2 linked regions of the Tamandua tetradactyla genome follow. The protein of the gene in region 1 purifies or fractionates together with the protein of each later gene. This does not show direct contact. Links are inferred from orthologs where the notes say so. Each region holds a gene or a part of one and is shown in the gene's direction. Other genes may lie near its edges.

Evidence for each region. The genes of interacting proteins can lie anywhere in the genome.
Region 2: the proteins of PPP4C (region 1) and TCP1 purify together in Homo sapiens (affinity purification with mass spectrometry; 5 studies listed by BioGRID and IntAct, with this or other methods). This does not show direct contact. The link is inferred for Tamandua tetradactyla from reciprocal best matches to the Homo sapiens genes PPP4C and TCP1.

The regions. Positions count from the first base shown.
Region 1 is NC_135349.1:24,612,231-24,619,311, forward strand, and holds the start of PPP4C (serine/threonine-protein phosphatase 4 catalytic subunit), read left to right. Parts: upstream 1-4,060; 5' UTR 4,061-4,156; exon of another isoform or gene 4,157-4,195; intron 4,196-4,424; 5' UTR 4,425-4,487; coding exon 4,488-4,585; intron 4,586-4,663; exon of another isoform or gene 4,664-7,081. Other genes in the region: ALDOA (fructose-bisphosphate aldolase A), read left to right, coding at 371-425, 542-702, 1,012-1,095, 1,190-1,364, 1,486-1,685, 1,787-1,882. UniProt on the Homo sapiens protein: Protein phosphatase that is involved in many processes such as microtubule organization at centrosomes, maturation of spliceosomal snRNPs, apoptosis, DNA repair, tumor necrosis factor (TNF)-alpha signaling, activation of c-Jun N-terminal kinase MAPK8, regulation of histone acetylation, DNA damage checkpoint signaling, NF-kappa-B activation and cell migration.
Region 2 is NC_135337.1:63,588,656-63,596,462, reverse strand, and holds the start of TCP1 (T-complex protein 1 subunit alpha), read left to right. Parts: upstream 1-4,786; 5' UTR 4,787-4,933; coding exon 4,934-4,997; intron 4,998-5,826; coding exon 5,827-5,912; intron 5,913-6,105; coding exon 6,106-6,234; intron 6,235-7,465; coding exon 7,466-7,563; intron 7,564-7,725; exon of another isoform or gene 7,726-7,807. Other genes in the region: MRPL18 (large ribosomal subunit protein uL18m), read right to left, coding at 1,123-1,309, 3,727-3,778. UniProt on the Homo sapiens protein: Component of the chaperonin-containing T-complex (TRiC), a molecular chaperone complex that assists the folding of actin, tubulin and other proteins upon ATP hydrolysis.

The DNA.
Region 1 (7,081 bases):
GGATGGAGAGGAAAAGCCAGGGACTTCAGTTACCTGCCTGGCATTTTTAGCCCTCACAATTCTCAGAGGGAGAGATTACTCTGTTTTACAAATGAGAAACCAGAGGGTCAGGGAAGTGAAGTGTTTTGCTTACAGAGTTAGTAACTGGTAGGGCCCAGGCCTCCTGAAACTCAAATCAGTTAACAGTCTGTGCCAGGTAACATCTCCATGTATCTTGCCTCATAGGATTAGATACTGTACCTAAGCAAAAATATTTGTGAGCCATGAGGTGCTGTTTAAGAGATTAAGTTGGGTTCAGATTGGGGCTACAGAGGAGAAAAGGGTGCTAGACCATTTCCTGTTTATCTTGCTGTCCCTCCTCCCCCAACAGGTAGACAAGGGCGTGGTACCCCTGGCAGGAACAAATGGCGAGACCACCACCCAAGGTGAGAACTCTTTGGCTCCTCACTCTATTAACCCATAGTCACCCTTCATGGTGGCCGCGGGTAAGTGGCCAAGTGGCTCCTCCCTCATTGTGCTCTGATTCCTCTGTCTCCTTCAGGGCTGGATGGGCTGTCTGAGCGCTGTGCCCAGTACAAGAAAGATGGAGCTGACTTTGCCAAGTGGCGCTGTGTGCTGAAGATCGGGGAGCATACTCCCACCTCCCTCGCCATTATGGAGAATGCCAATGTGCTGGCCCGTTATGCCAGCATCTGCCAGCAGGTTGGCTTGTGGGTCCCCAGTAAGCCACCTCCCACCTCCTTGGGCCCCAAGCTGTCAGCTAGCCTGCTACGCATCTGCCAGGATACCTACCTCCTCCCCCAAGGCAGCTGTTCCTGGAACTTTCTAGGAACAAATCAGTCTCTGTCTTTGCCCAGCAGAAGATGCTCAGAAAGCTCTGCAAGGCAGAGGACTAGAGTAGGCTTATGAGGTTGGTCTTGAAGCCAGGAGTTCCTCTCAGCCAGTGACTTCAGGGGGGTTGGAGGCAGAACCCTGGGTTTAGGAGGCCTCACCCCACTTCCCACCCAACAGAATGGCATCGTGCCCATCGTGGAGCCAGAGATTCTCCCCGACGGGGACCATGACTTGAGGCGCTGTCAATATGTAACCGAGAAGGTAGGTTCCTGCTTGCTGTGGTGGGTGGGGCAGCTGGGCCAGGGCCCTGACCTGACCCGTCTCCCCACCCAACTTGGGCCCTGCCCTACTCCAGGTGCTGGCTGCTGTTTACAAGGCTCTGAGTGACCACCACGTCTACCTGGAAGGCACTTTGCTGAAGCCCAACATGGTAACCCCAGGCCATGCCTGCACCCAGAAGTTTTCTCACGAGGAGATTGCCATAGCAACTGTCACAGCACTGCGCCGCACAGTGCCTCCTGCTGTCCCTGGTGAGGCGTGCAACTTCATCTTGGGAAGGGGGTACTTTATACCCACAGACTTTATACCCATCTGGTCTGTTCTTCAGGGCAGCTTCTTGGGGATCCTATCTGTCTCACCCTTGTTCTGCAGGAGTCACCTTCCTATCTGGAGGCCAGAGTGAAGAGGAGGCATCCATCAACCTTAACGCCATCAACAAGTGCCCCCTGCAGAAGCCATGGGCCCTGACCTTCTCCTATGGCCGAGCCCTGCAGGCTTCTGCCCTGAAGGCCTGGGGTGGGAAGAAGGAGAACCTGAAGGCTGCCCAGGAAGAGTATGTCAAGCGAGCCCTGGTAAGGATGGGGCAGGATGCAGACAGGGTACCTGGGTAGGTGGGATTCTGAGAAGCTGGGTTCCCTGAGGCCTTCTCACTCTGGTTTCTCTCCCCCTTTAGGCCAACAGCCTTGCCTGCCAAGGAAAGTACACCCCAAGTGGCCAGACCGGCACCGCAGCCAGCGAGTCCCTCTTCATCTCTAACCATGCCTACTAAGCAGAGGTGTTCTAAGGTTGCCCCCTCAACACTCCAAGCCCCTGCTTCCTCCTACACTCACTGTCAAGGAGGGGCTTCATCTGGGGCTCCCGGCTGCTCTTTCCCATCACTTTTTTGCCTCCCTTGTGACTTTGGTGTGTGGTGTTGTCTGTATATGCTAACTCCATCCTTTACAGCCCACTGCCAATAAACAACTATTTAAGGGGGACTCTGTTGTCTGTGCTCGTGGTGTTTGGCGCAGTGGGGAACCTGCAAAGGTGGCAGAGCCCTGAAGAAGAAAGCTCTTGTTTTTGTGTCCTTCCTTGTTTTATACTTGCCCAGAGCTTTCAGGAAGACAGAGAGTTTGTGAAATTCTCCAACCACTATATGCTCCACCCATTTCTATCAGCAGCATCTGATAAGGCTCACAGATAAGGGCGCAAATGTACTGCTCAAGTCACCAGAGGCCACAGTATCAGCCCAGAACTCAGGGTGCACAAGGCCCCTGTGGAAAAATAGTAACTGCTTAAAGCCAGACAGTGTAGCAGGTGCTGTAGATGAGTAGGTACTGCTATTCCCGGCCATCTTGCCTAAGATCACACAAGTTTCTTCGGGGAAAACAGGATTATTACTGCATATCCCCATAAGGGGGCTGGTCCATTGCCCCATTTTATGGGCGAGATGGAATTAAAATTCTTAGTCCTCTTTGGGCCATGGAATCCCTGAAGGCATTTGGAATTCTCTCCAACATTCAATTAAACAATGCAGACAGCACACGTACTCCAGGTTCCAGGTTAACTGCACCTCAGCAGCTGCCACAGTCCATGAGGCCAGAGGGAAGGTCCTGAAGCTGTCCCTATGCAATGCGCTGAACTCTTCCTCAATCATCCAGGCTGGGATGCTACAGTAACTACACTGGATTCTTCTGAACTGCCAAAGATCCTAACCACAGACATAGCCCTGCTGCCACCTCCCAAATTTTCTGCAACTTCTTTCACTGCCAGCCTTTCTGGATAGGGACTCTTTCCTGTCTGAACTTCCCATCCATGAAAAAGGTCATGACCTTTCTGTCCTTTCTGGACCTAAAAAATCCCCACAATGATCCTCATAGAACTGACTTACCTAGTACCTTCTAGGAACCCTCGTCCTTCCCTTCTGTGCACATTTGCACCTACTGCCTGCATTCATGTATCAAATCCACTCCTAGTGGCCCTCCAAACTTTGGCCTCATTTCTGTGCCTAGCCTCAATTCTGGGAAACAAAACTTGAAGCAAATAAAAGTTGAGGGTAAGTAGAAAGAAAGCAAAAACGACACTTCAAAAAACAGCATGTGTAAAGGCTGAGAGACTGGAAAGGTGGAGAGTGGGCTTAGATTAGAGTATCTTCCTCTGCCTCCAGCAAAAGAGACAAGGGAAGCAGAGGACTACAAATGTCAGGGGAGTTTGGAAAATTCTGGACTTCTGAATTTTATAACGATTCACTGAACTACAGAAATGGTAAATTCTGAGAAAATGGAAAAACTAGATTTGAGAACAGTTTTCTGGGGTTCAAATTTCAACCCTGATTCAAATCTCAAATTCTCAGCTATGTAACCATGAACAAATTAGTTCTTTGAGCCAGCTTCCTCCTCCTAACAAAGGAACAAAACTTGCCTTAGATAGGAAGTAACTGAGGTGAGGTAAAGGGACCTATTTTGTAATGAGGTAGGTCTTTAGCTTGATGAGGGAAATGTGGATCTTTTCTTCTGCCTCTAACTGTAGATGTCCCGATGGCAAAGATTTCCCCCGGGCCATGAAAAGAGACTGGGGATTGGACTGAGATTCCTTCGGCCATGAACAAATATTTATGTATGCCTACTATGTGCCAGGCCCATAGGGCTACAATGGTAAACAAGACAAAATTCCATACCTCAAGGATTGTAGTAGGCGAGGCAAACTACAACAGATGGGCAAAAGTACTTAACATGAAGTTAAGAGGTTTAAGCACAGCTCAGCTTCAGTTTCCCTAACTGAAACGGCAGGGAACTGGCCTGAGGTCTGTAACACCCTCCAGTACCGGCCCGTTTAGTCCACAACTTCCGTCCACAACTTCCGTCCGCATGTTACCTACAACCAGCTCCCTCCGCTCACTTCATTCTTAGGCTTGAGAGGTGTGGTTAAGGGCGCGGCGCGGAAGGGAGGAGTGTATATGACGCCACTTCCGACGCGCGCCGGAACTAGCTTCCCTTTGCTTCCGCGGCGGGGCCGGAAGTAGGAGCAGCGGTAGTGGCGGCCCAAAGCGGGGGGAAGGAGGAAGGTAGAGAGCCTGAGAGCCGGAGCCGGAGTCGCAGCGGCGGTAATAGCCCGAGACCCCTCCAGGCCACGTCCCTAGCGCGGGACCTGTGGGGTTCGACGGGAGTTAGCGGCGGTGCGGCCAGAGCCGCGGGACGTCGGGAGTCTCTGGGAGCCGATGTGAGGGGAGGCGGGTAGGGGGGGGGAAGGGGCGGGCCAGCCTCAGAATCGCGTTGGCCCCTGGCGCCCCGTACGGACATTCAGATCTGTGGGGTCGTCTTCACCTTTCCCAGGGGACCCCTGTGCGGTGCAGAGGGGGCAGTGGCCCCGGCTCTGACCCGCGCTGGGGGTGGGCCATGGCGGAGATCAGCGACCTGGACCGGCAGATAGAGCAGCTGCGACGCTGCGAGCTCATCAAGGAGAGCGAAGTCAAGGCCCTCTGCGCCAAGGCTAGGTAAGCCTGCTAGCCCCGGGGAGGGGAGGTCTTGCCGCTACTCGGACGTTCTGACCCCGGGCAAGCCCAGCGGAGAACTCTGGGCCTGGCCCACCTAGGAAGTGTTCCCTGAGAGGAGCAGTATAACGCCCCTTTCCTCGAGGAGCCACTAGCCTGCTGGGGGAGGCACACCTTAATAAAGACACTTAAAGTATCAGATGATGTATTTTTATAAAGTAGTAAGAGAAGTTATGGAAAGTATTCAGGAAGCTTAAAGCAACAATCCCATCTTTTGGGGAGGAACAGGGAAGACTCCTTGGCGGAGCTGTACTTTGGGCAGGCCTTTAAAAATGAGATAAAAGGGAGTGTCAGCAAGAACAAAGAGTCAAGGCAGGAAAGCAAGAAACTCTGTGGTTTACAAAGTTCTTTTAATTCCACCAACAAGCCATAAAAGGTGGGTGTCTTCAGTTTACAAGTGAGAAATCTCATGTTAATTCACCAGCAAGTAGGGGTTAGAATCCGAGATCAGTTTTCTGTGTCCTGTCCCTTTTCTGGCCATAATGCTAGAAGGGGTGGACTTCATCCAACTCTCATTTTCATTGGTAGGACCTCAGAATTGCAGCAAATAAGCTAGAGTAGAATTAAGCCCTGGATGGAGGGAGGCCCATCGCAGAGTTTTATGGGAAGTAGAATGGTGTGGTGGTTAAGAGCAGAGGCCTTGGAGTATGATGGCTCTGGGTTTGAATCTGAGCTCTGCTGCTTACTAGCTGTGTTTGTGGTCTTGAGCTCTCTGAGACTCCATTTCACCAACTGAGAAGTGAGGATAATAGTACTTAATAAGTTGGTTGTGAAGATTCAGTGAGTTGGTGCGTGGTATGAAGTTAGCATAGTGCTTTGGTCCAGTGCAAATATTTGGCAATCATTAAGTGTTATTGTTGTTGCTATATTAGACGAGGGCAGTGCTGGCATTGGCTGAAGTCATCAGGGAAGGTTTCTAAGTGAAGGTAGGCCTTGAAGCATGAAGATAATTTGGGTAAGCAATGGGGCAGGACCAGGGAGGAAGGACATTCCAAGCACAATGAGAGTAGGAATGGAGGCCTGAAATGTGTGCGCAACAGTGAGGAGACTAATCACCTGCCTTATCCAAGAAACTGTTTGACTGTGGCTTCCCCAAGGCTGGAAAATTTACAAGCCCACTGTTTGGCCATGAACTGGCAAGAAGGAAAAAAAAAAAAACAATCTTCCCCCAGCCAGCTTGTAAGGTTGGAATTATTTGCTCCATTTTACAGAAGAGGAAGCCAGATTCCTAGAGGCCAGGTAATTTGACTGAGGAAGTGGCGGAGCTGGATTTTTTGCCTCACATAGGCCTTTTGCCCCACATAGACCCTCTACAGCCAGGCAAAGTTTGCATGAGTTTGGTAAACAGGCGAGGCCCCTTTATAAGTGCCTGTCTCTGACTCCTCTGTGCTTTGTCAGTTCAAGGAAATTGCCCTGACTTGGCCAGCTTCAAAGTGTTTTTAGTTGTCTTAGCTTCCTCGGTTCTTACTGGCATTTTAGGAACTTAAACCAGTTGCTGCCTGGCCCTTTTCCGTTTCCGATCAGTCTTGTTTTCACAGGGCCTGAATCAGTGTGCTGGTGATAAGGGCTAATGCTTGGGTAGTATGCTAGAGTTTTCAGAGTAAATGAGAAATTATGCCTTCATTCTCTTTGTTCCTTGCAGCAGCCTTATGGATAAGGCAGGGCAGGGATGAGTATTTATTCCACTTCACGGAAGAGGAAATTGTCCAAGGTCTTGCCCAAGGTTACAAAGCTGACTGGAAGGGATGTTGGTTTTGAATCTAGGTCTCTGACTGTTCTTTTCAGTCATCAACAGCTTGGCAGAGACATTTAGACTTTGATGTGGGGTGTGAGGCAGCAGAGAACTAGGGAGGTCTGGTGGGTGCAAGGGTCCTACCATTTGAAACTGAAGTGGACTAGGAGGTACTAACTATACTGACGTCTGAGTTGGCCACCATTGTCCCAGGCCCAGTCTGAAGAAGGACCAGTTCTGGGATCTAGTTCATGGCCTCGTGGGGACCCACTAGGGCTTCCACTTGCTCAGAGGATTCATAGACTCAAACCCTGGGATCCAGAGAGGCCTGCAGTGCCTGAGCTGAAATAGCTCCTTTTAGAAGAATTTAGCAAAAGCTTTTGAATCTGGCAGTCTTTGATTGGAATCCCAGCATTGCCACCTATAAACAACGTGACCCTGATGACTTCACTTCTCTGAATCTTTGAGCTCATTTTAAGGCTCAAATGAGATCTACATATCCAACAACAGGACCTGACACATTGGTGGGCACTTAAAGAAGGTAGTGTTAGTAGTGGAAATAAAGGTAAGCAGGTGGGAGCTATGCCAGGGCAGGTGGTGTGCTGCAAGTGACAGGCAACCTGGGCCTTGTTACCAGATCATGCTGGGACCCCACTGGCACTCAGGTACAGTTTTGCAGAAAGCAGGGACCTTCCTGGGCTTCAGGT
Region 2 (7,807 bases), on another chromosome or scaffold:
ATAATTTCTAACTTGTTTCGTAACTCTACGGGGTCCTTAAGAAAAATTCTTTTTAAAAAAAATTCTTACCAAGTAGATGGGCAGCAGATAAACAGCCACATGTTGCAGGTTACAGAAAATTTAGTGCCTAGTTCTGAGAATATTTTTGAATCTTCACCCTAGCACTTCTTCACCCCTAATTCCCCCTGCTCTTATAAAATGGAGAAAGTAATTGTTTCTGCTTTACAAAGTAGTTTTAAGTAGTAAATGAGAAAATGTGCATAAACCAGCAACCATAGTTCTTGGCAAAAAGAAAGTGTTCAATAAACAACCATTCTTGTGACAAAATGACAGGAATAGCAGATTCCTAACTGTTCTCCCTGCTTCTACTCTAGTTCCCTTAAAAATCTATCCGTCCCGGGGCAGGCCATGGTGGCTCGGCAGGCAGCGTTCTTGCCTGCCATGCTGGAGACCTAGATTCAATTTCCGGAGCCTGCCCATGCGAAAAAAAAAAGAGAGAGAGAGGAAAAAAAAGAATCTATCCATCCCAGAGTAACCAGAATGATATTTAAATATCAGGTCATTCAGGTTCAAAATTATAAACCTCTCATAGCTCCCCTCTACAGCGAGAATAAAGTCTGAACTGCTTAACTTGTCTTGTAAAGCTAATAATCTGTCCCCTCACTAGCCCTCCAGTCTCATCTTACATCATGCACCCTTTTGCCTATTGAGCTCCAGGCACACAGGCTTTCTTTCTGTTCCTCTAACATGACAAGCTCATTCCCACCATTGCTGTTTGGTCTGCTAGGAATGCTCTTCCTGGCATTTCCGAGATGGCCTGAGTTCTTCCTTTCAGATTTCAGCTTTTTAAATATCACTCCCTTAGAAAGGTCATACAAAGGTACCCAATCACCCACTCTTAAGTCATCCTCTTCAAGTTTTCTCCAAGACAGGTGCTATTTGCCCCATTCAGCTGCCAACCCCTTTCCCCACCCATGTCAACTTCCTAAGGGCAGAGTCCCCAGCAGTATTTGGCACATAGTAAGGGCTGGATAAATATTTGCTGAATGAATGGATGAAAGCAGCTTGCAGGGTACCATGCACCACTCTGCCTTTAGGTCAACAACAAATAGCTTTATTTACCTGTGCCAGAACTCACGGGAGGGCCACACCGTCCGCCAACCCCGCTCCTTCCTGGCTACAGCTAAGAGTTCCAGATTCCGGGGATTTCGGTTGGTAAATTCTGGGGCAACAGCTTCATTTTCCAGAGGGTCCACTTCAGGCGTCACCGCTGGTTTGGGACCAGTTGAGAGGGCTGCAAACCCAAACTCTAAGAAATGGAAACCACCACACTTATCTTAAAAGATGAGTAATATGTGTATGCCATAAGCTATGTGTAACAGGAAAACATCAATTGTACCATGGTTGGGGGGGGGCAAAAGTTATGGGGAAATTTGGATTTTCTATTTGGTGAGGGTATGTTTACTGGTTATCTTTCTCTTGGGAACAATGAAATTATCTAAAATTTAGAATTTGATGGACTGTTGACGTTGGATGTTATACGTATGAGGCCCAGTAGATGGAGATGGCTGAAGGATGCACTGACTGAGATGTAGACTGGCGAATGATGGTGTATACATATGATCGCACACTGTGCTGCTGCTACAAAAAGGAATGAAGTTATGAGACATGCAACAATGTGAATGAACCTGGGACATTTGTTAAGGCAAAATAAACCAGAAACAAAAGAACAAGTATTATATGATCTCATTTAGAAAATACTTAGAAGAAAACTGGGGCCTATATTGTAAACTATTATAGCAGTCACATTTAGCCCAGAGTGGTAACTGTTATTTCTGGATTATGAGAGGGTGTTTAATATATGTATAATCTGGTATTTAGAGATAAGAATGAAGCCAACCAAGTTAGGAATAAGGTAATTCAGAATACAGGGGTAAGGAAAGCATTGTCTATATTTTAGAACCTCATGCACTCTTTGAGACCAAAGGAAGAAAGGTTTATTTGATTCAGAATCTAAATTTTCTGTAGCATATAATCTAACTCAACCTGTCTGGATAGACTATTTAAATAATTCAAACACAGGGAGCCCAGAATAAGAATAGAGCCTATCCTGTATAGCTTAATATAATGTCTGGATACATCCCAGAGAATATTAAGCAGATAATCAAAACGTATTGGCAAAGTCCCTTCAGGGATAGGAGAAAACATATGGATCTAATAAACTTTACCACTGGGGAAACCCTTGATACTGTGCCAAACATTAGGGACACCCAAATCAACAGAACAAGACCTTGATCTTAAGGCTTACTCTTGTGAAGTTTATGTACGTAGTAGAGAAGCTTAGCCTCCTATAGGCATGCTTAAGAGTCACCTGCAGAGGACCTCTTTTGTTGCTCAGATGTGCCTCTCTCTCTCTCAGCCCAACTCTTCAAGTGAAACCATTGCCCTCACCCCTACGTGGGACATGACATCCAGGGATGAAAGTCTCCCTGGCAGCATGGGAGAATGACTCCCAAATATAAGTCTGGCCCTGGCACAATGGGATAATCTATGCCATTCTGACCAAAAGGGGGAAAAGAAGTGTAACAAATAAGGCATCAGTGGCTGAGAGAGTTCAAGTAAAGTTGAGAGGCTAATCTGGAGGTCACCCTTATGCAAGCTTCAGTTAGACATTGCTACGTATCATAATTTACCAACCCCCAATCAAAACCATTTCTGTCAATCCTAAAGAATACCTAGGCTGTTACATAAGATTCTACAGAAGTTCCTGCACTAGGGTAACTTTCCGGAAACCTACAACCTCCAAATGGGTCCCTGGACTAGATAAGACCTGAAACCCAGAAGGGCCAGCCTTTCCAGAACATCAACTAGTTCCATCCCCTATCCGATATTATTGACAGCCCCTTCAAACATGAAAAACTATAATGGGCACTGGGCATGGCTCTAAAGAGTGGAAGAAAGATCAAAGGTGATAGTGGAGTTATATAGAGAAGGTAGGGTTTAACAAATGAGTATGAGCACTGAATCACTATATTGATATTTCTTTTAGACTCCAGTATCTTACAGCAGCTAGAAGTAAAAATCTAAAATTGTGGAATTGAAATCCATACCAAACTCTGAAATCTGTGCTACGACTAATTGTTGCAAGGTGCTTTGAAATTTCTTGCTTTTTTGCATATGTTTTTCCACACACACACACAATGTTAAAAAGGAGGAGGAGTATAACAGAAATGACAGGATTTAACAAATGAGCATGACTGTTGAATTATATTGATATTTCTTATGGTCTCCAATGTCTGGGAGCAGCTAGAAGAAAAAACGAAAAATCGCGGAACTGTAACCCATATCAAACTTTAGAAGCTGCTCTGTAACTACTTGCTAAAATGTACCTGGAAACTTCTTGCTTTTTTGTATACATGTTATATTTCACAATTTTAAAGCAATTTAAAAAAAGATGAGTAATACGGACAAAACAGGAATATGATTTTACTTTTTTCCCTATCCACTCCCCCAATCTTCCCGCCCTGGAAGGGGCATGATATGTATGTTTGGGCACAGGGTGTAGTAATGACAGACCCAGGTCCTTAGTTTCCTACTACTGTCATCCCAATACCGTGAGCTCATTGACTTTTCGATGTTGCATGCGGAAAATAAAATGCAATTCGCATATTCATTTATTTTCCAAGCCCTCGACTTAACGTAAGGAAAGTGGGGAAGGTTAATTACCTGGATTTCTGCAAACGGACAATAACTCCCAGGGCCGCGAACGAAGCGCCATAACCAGGAGACCACAGGCAAAGCCTCGATAAAGTCTGGCCTCCTCTTCCTCAAGGGTGTTTCACAGTCTCCACGGGCGCAGCCATATTAACTTAGGGACAACGCCACAGGGTCGGGAGCGTCATCAAATCCTCAACACGTGGGACACTCTCGACCCGGAACCAGCAAACCCCCTGCAGCCGAGTGGCGGAGAAGGCAAGTTGTTATCTCCGCTTCTCCAATCATCACCTACGCTTAGGAGCACGCAAGCCTTTGAGCTGACCAATCACCACTCAGTAACACGCGTGGTGGACGGGGCGGGATCCCCTTGGCTTAGAGCAAGCCTTATTTGCGCGAGTCCTGCCGGGAGGGTTCGCAAGCTTGTGTTGCAGGTGGCGTGCGCTGCTGTCGAAAGCTAACTCTCCTAGCGGGCGAGGAGTTAACTGTCTAAGGGCATCCACAACCTCAGGTTACCGTATCTTGGCCCTCTATTCCAAGACTTAGACCAATTGTAGGATCCACGCAAACCCCAGTTGGGCACGGGAAGAAATGGGAATGAGCAAGATGCACGATTGACTCTTGAAAACGGGTCTTCCTCCAGTGAAAAATTTTCACGTTGAGCCCATTGGAAAACTTTGGCTGACTTCCTGCCACGCCCCACAGGCTCGGGCACCCTAGAAGCTTACGTGCATTAGGGAAAAGCCTGACGTTCCCTGAGGAAACATCCCTGTTTAGGGCAAAAAAGTAAGAGAATAAAGCTGAAACCCCAAACTTGCCCAGCCCCCCAGTTCTAAATTACAGAGGTGCCCACCCTGCACCCCAAGCCCCACCCTGCAGCCGCCTTTTCTAGAAGTCACTAGAATGCCCCAGATTGGCATGCGCAATACTGCCCGGGTGAATGCTCAAACTATCACCTCCTTCCTCCGGACGCCCAGGAACTGGACTTCCGTTCTCCTGCTTTCGCGCCCTTCTCATCGGGCTTCCAATTGGACGAGGATGCTGACCCGCCTCTGTGCCCGCCCCCTGCCGCTCGCTCACTTCCTGCCTACGCACCGATCTCTCCTCCTCTCCCTCTCGCCTTGCCTCGCGTTTTCGCCGTTGCGGTGGCCGCCGCCGTGTCTGGGGGAGAAACGCTGGTTTCGTGTCAGTGATTCTTGACGAGCCCCCTACCGCGAAGATGGAGGGGCCTTTGTCCGTGTTCGGGGACCGCAGCACTGGGGAGGCGATCCGCTCCCAGAACGGTAAGAGACGGCTAGGCCTGAGGGGGCCCGAGCAGCCCCACCGCGCCCCGGGAGGCCTGTGGCTGCCTTCCGTACGCTTCTCTCTCTTTTCCAGTCCCTAGAAGAGCCGCCGGGTGGCCTCTTGGGGCGGGGCGACTGCGCCCCAGTCCCAGGAAGGGCCGCTCCCTTAGAGCGCAGCACGTTTTTGAGAGCTGCACCGCGTGCGTGTGGGTTGGGGGTGGATGGCGAGCACCCCGCCTGGAAAGCGAGCCATCTGCGCTGAAATATGTCGGCCGCGGCTCGCGTCCCCCATAGTTGTCTTTTGTTTCGATCCCAACCAGGTAGAACATCTTGCTGAACCTCTGGTCTTCGTTTCAGGACCATTGACTTTAGCACAGGACTTAGTTTACCGACGAGCAAACAGAATTTTTAGGTGGCTGGATCATCGGTTGTCCCAATGTCTAGATCCGTTTCTTATTCCTATTGTTGACGGCATCTCATGATAAAATTAGCTGACGAAATGTTGGTTGAATGTTAGCGTCCTTTGATTTAAGATCCGGGAAAGCTCCCCTTTAAATGAGTTTACCTTAGGGTGCACGGGTAGTTTCATTGGTAGAATGCTCGCCTTCCATGCAGGAGACCCGGGTTCGATTCCCGGACCATGCACACACACCGCAAAATGAATTTACCTTAGTAAATGCTAATACGAATTATGAGCAAAGCCTTTGATGGAATATATATGTAAGTTTGGGAAATTCGGAAGCTACTGGATGTTGTTTATTTTTTAGACAGAAAGTGTTCTCCTTTGGACTAGTATTTCTCATTTTCTTTTTTCACTAATTATCCACAGTTATGGCTGCAGCTTCTATTGCTAATATTGTAAAAAGTTCTCTTGGTCCTGTTGGCTTGGATAAAATGTTGGTGGATGATATTGGTGTAAGTACACTTAACTCTTGTGTATAAGTTAAATAAAAGGGATGGTTCTTAAATTTTAGCTATGTAAATTCGATGTATTTATCGAGTCGTGGTCATAATGAAACTGTGTTATTTTATGGGGTTATCTATTCCATTTCTGAGGGTAATTTACATTGTCCTTTTTTTTTTTTTTCACCCCTGCAAAATTTCTCAGGATGTAACCATTACCAATGATGGTGCAACCATCTTGAAGTTACTAGAGGTAGAGCATCCTGCAGCTAAAGTTCTTTGTGAGCTGGCTGATCTGCAAGACAAAGAAGTTGGAGATGGAACTACCTCAGTGGTATGTAAGCCACCTGATAGAGTAGCTAAAGGCTAGTTGTTTTCCTCAAAGCTTTCAAAGTGAGAGAGAGCATAAGTGAATCATTTGCTTCTGAGTGAGAAATAAGTTACATATTTAATAGGAAGAAATTAGATTTCTTGGGTACTGATTCAAATACATTTGAAAAATGATGGTTATAGCTAGTTTATACAGTTTTTTTGTTGTTATGATAACACACAACACCAAATTTCGCATTTTACCTGCTGTATGTGTACAATTTAGTGATCTTAATTAAATTCACGTAATGTTACCAATACCAACATCCCTTACCTTCATCACCAATACCTTAATCACCCTAGTTTGTTTCAATTTGAGTAGAAAAGAAACTTGAGATAATTTGATATACTCATTTTAAATCTTGACCTTTGGAAGTTTTGAGATTTTTTTTTTTGCCCCACAATACAGATAGTATTACAGATATGTGACGTGAGGTTTTGGCTAAGCATGGTTAATTGTACTTAAGATTTTTGTTTTTCTAAAAAGTTTGCCACTTCCCCCACCCGTGGAAAGTTCTAAGACCTTTACTTTGTAATGATCTAGAGGGAAAATGTTGCCAGTTTTGCTTTGCTTTGTTTCATTTTTAATTAAAATATATATTTTTTAAGGATTGGCAGACTCCTGGGTCAAAATGGAAGTGAGAAATTTACAGTATGACAATGTAAAGATTTTGACAAGTCAGTAAACATGATTAACAAGGTGACTTAAATTTTCAAAGATTATCCTGTATACTTGGGTTTGTTAAAGTTTGAAGTTAGCTAGCCAAACAAGCAATAATATCTTGGGAAAGAAATATGTTTCACTTCAGCCATGAGAAAATGAACTCTATCTCTTCTAAGGTCATAATAGTAGTCTGTCTCGGTAACTGATTTATCATAATGTAATTTAACAAAATTTCCAGGGTGGGAAAAGCTCCCAGGATTTAAAAAATTTTTTTAATTAAAACTATTTTTAGTGTTCATTAGATTGTTAAAATAAACCAAGAATAACTTAAATTAGTATAAGTTGTTTGAGTAAACGTTAGTCTCTGTTAACCACTTAACCTAAGAGGACTGTGTAGTCTTTTACTATATTGCTGAAAGAGCTTCTTAGCAGAATATTTTTCTGGCTCTTATCAGATAGTGTTGATTTTATGTATGCATTGCATATACTGAATGCCAGGCTACATTTAGAGCAATGAATGTTTTCTCAACAGGTTATTATTGCAGCAGAACTTCTGAAAAATGCAGATGAACTAGTCAAACAGAAAATTCATCCCACATCAGTTATCAGTGGCTATCGACTTGCTTGCAAGTGAGATTTGCATTCAGAGACAAAATTTTTGCTGTTTGTTGTAATAGTTATATTCTGTGTTCTCATAAATGTTTTGATTGATTTAAATATTACTTTTTCAAATTAAAGTTTTATGGTTAAGTATAATATTTGAAGTAAGGAGTATGGCTAATAACTTTTTTGGTTCCCATTTGACTACCACTTTTTCTCTTAATAATAGATTTTAGTGGCTATGCTTATGGGATAGATGAAAGTTGCCATGATC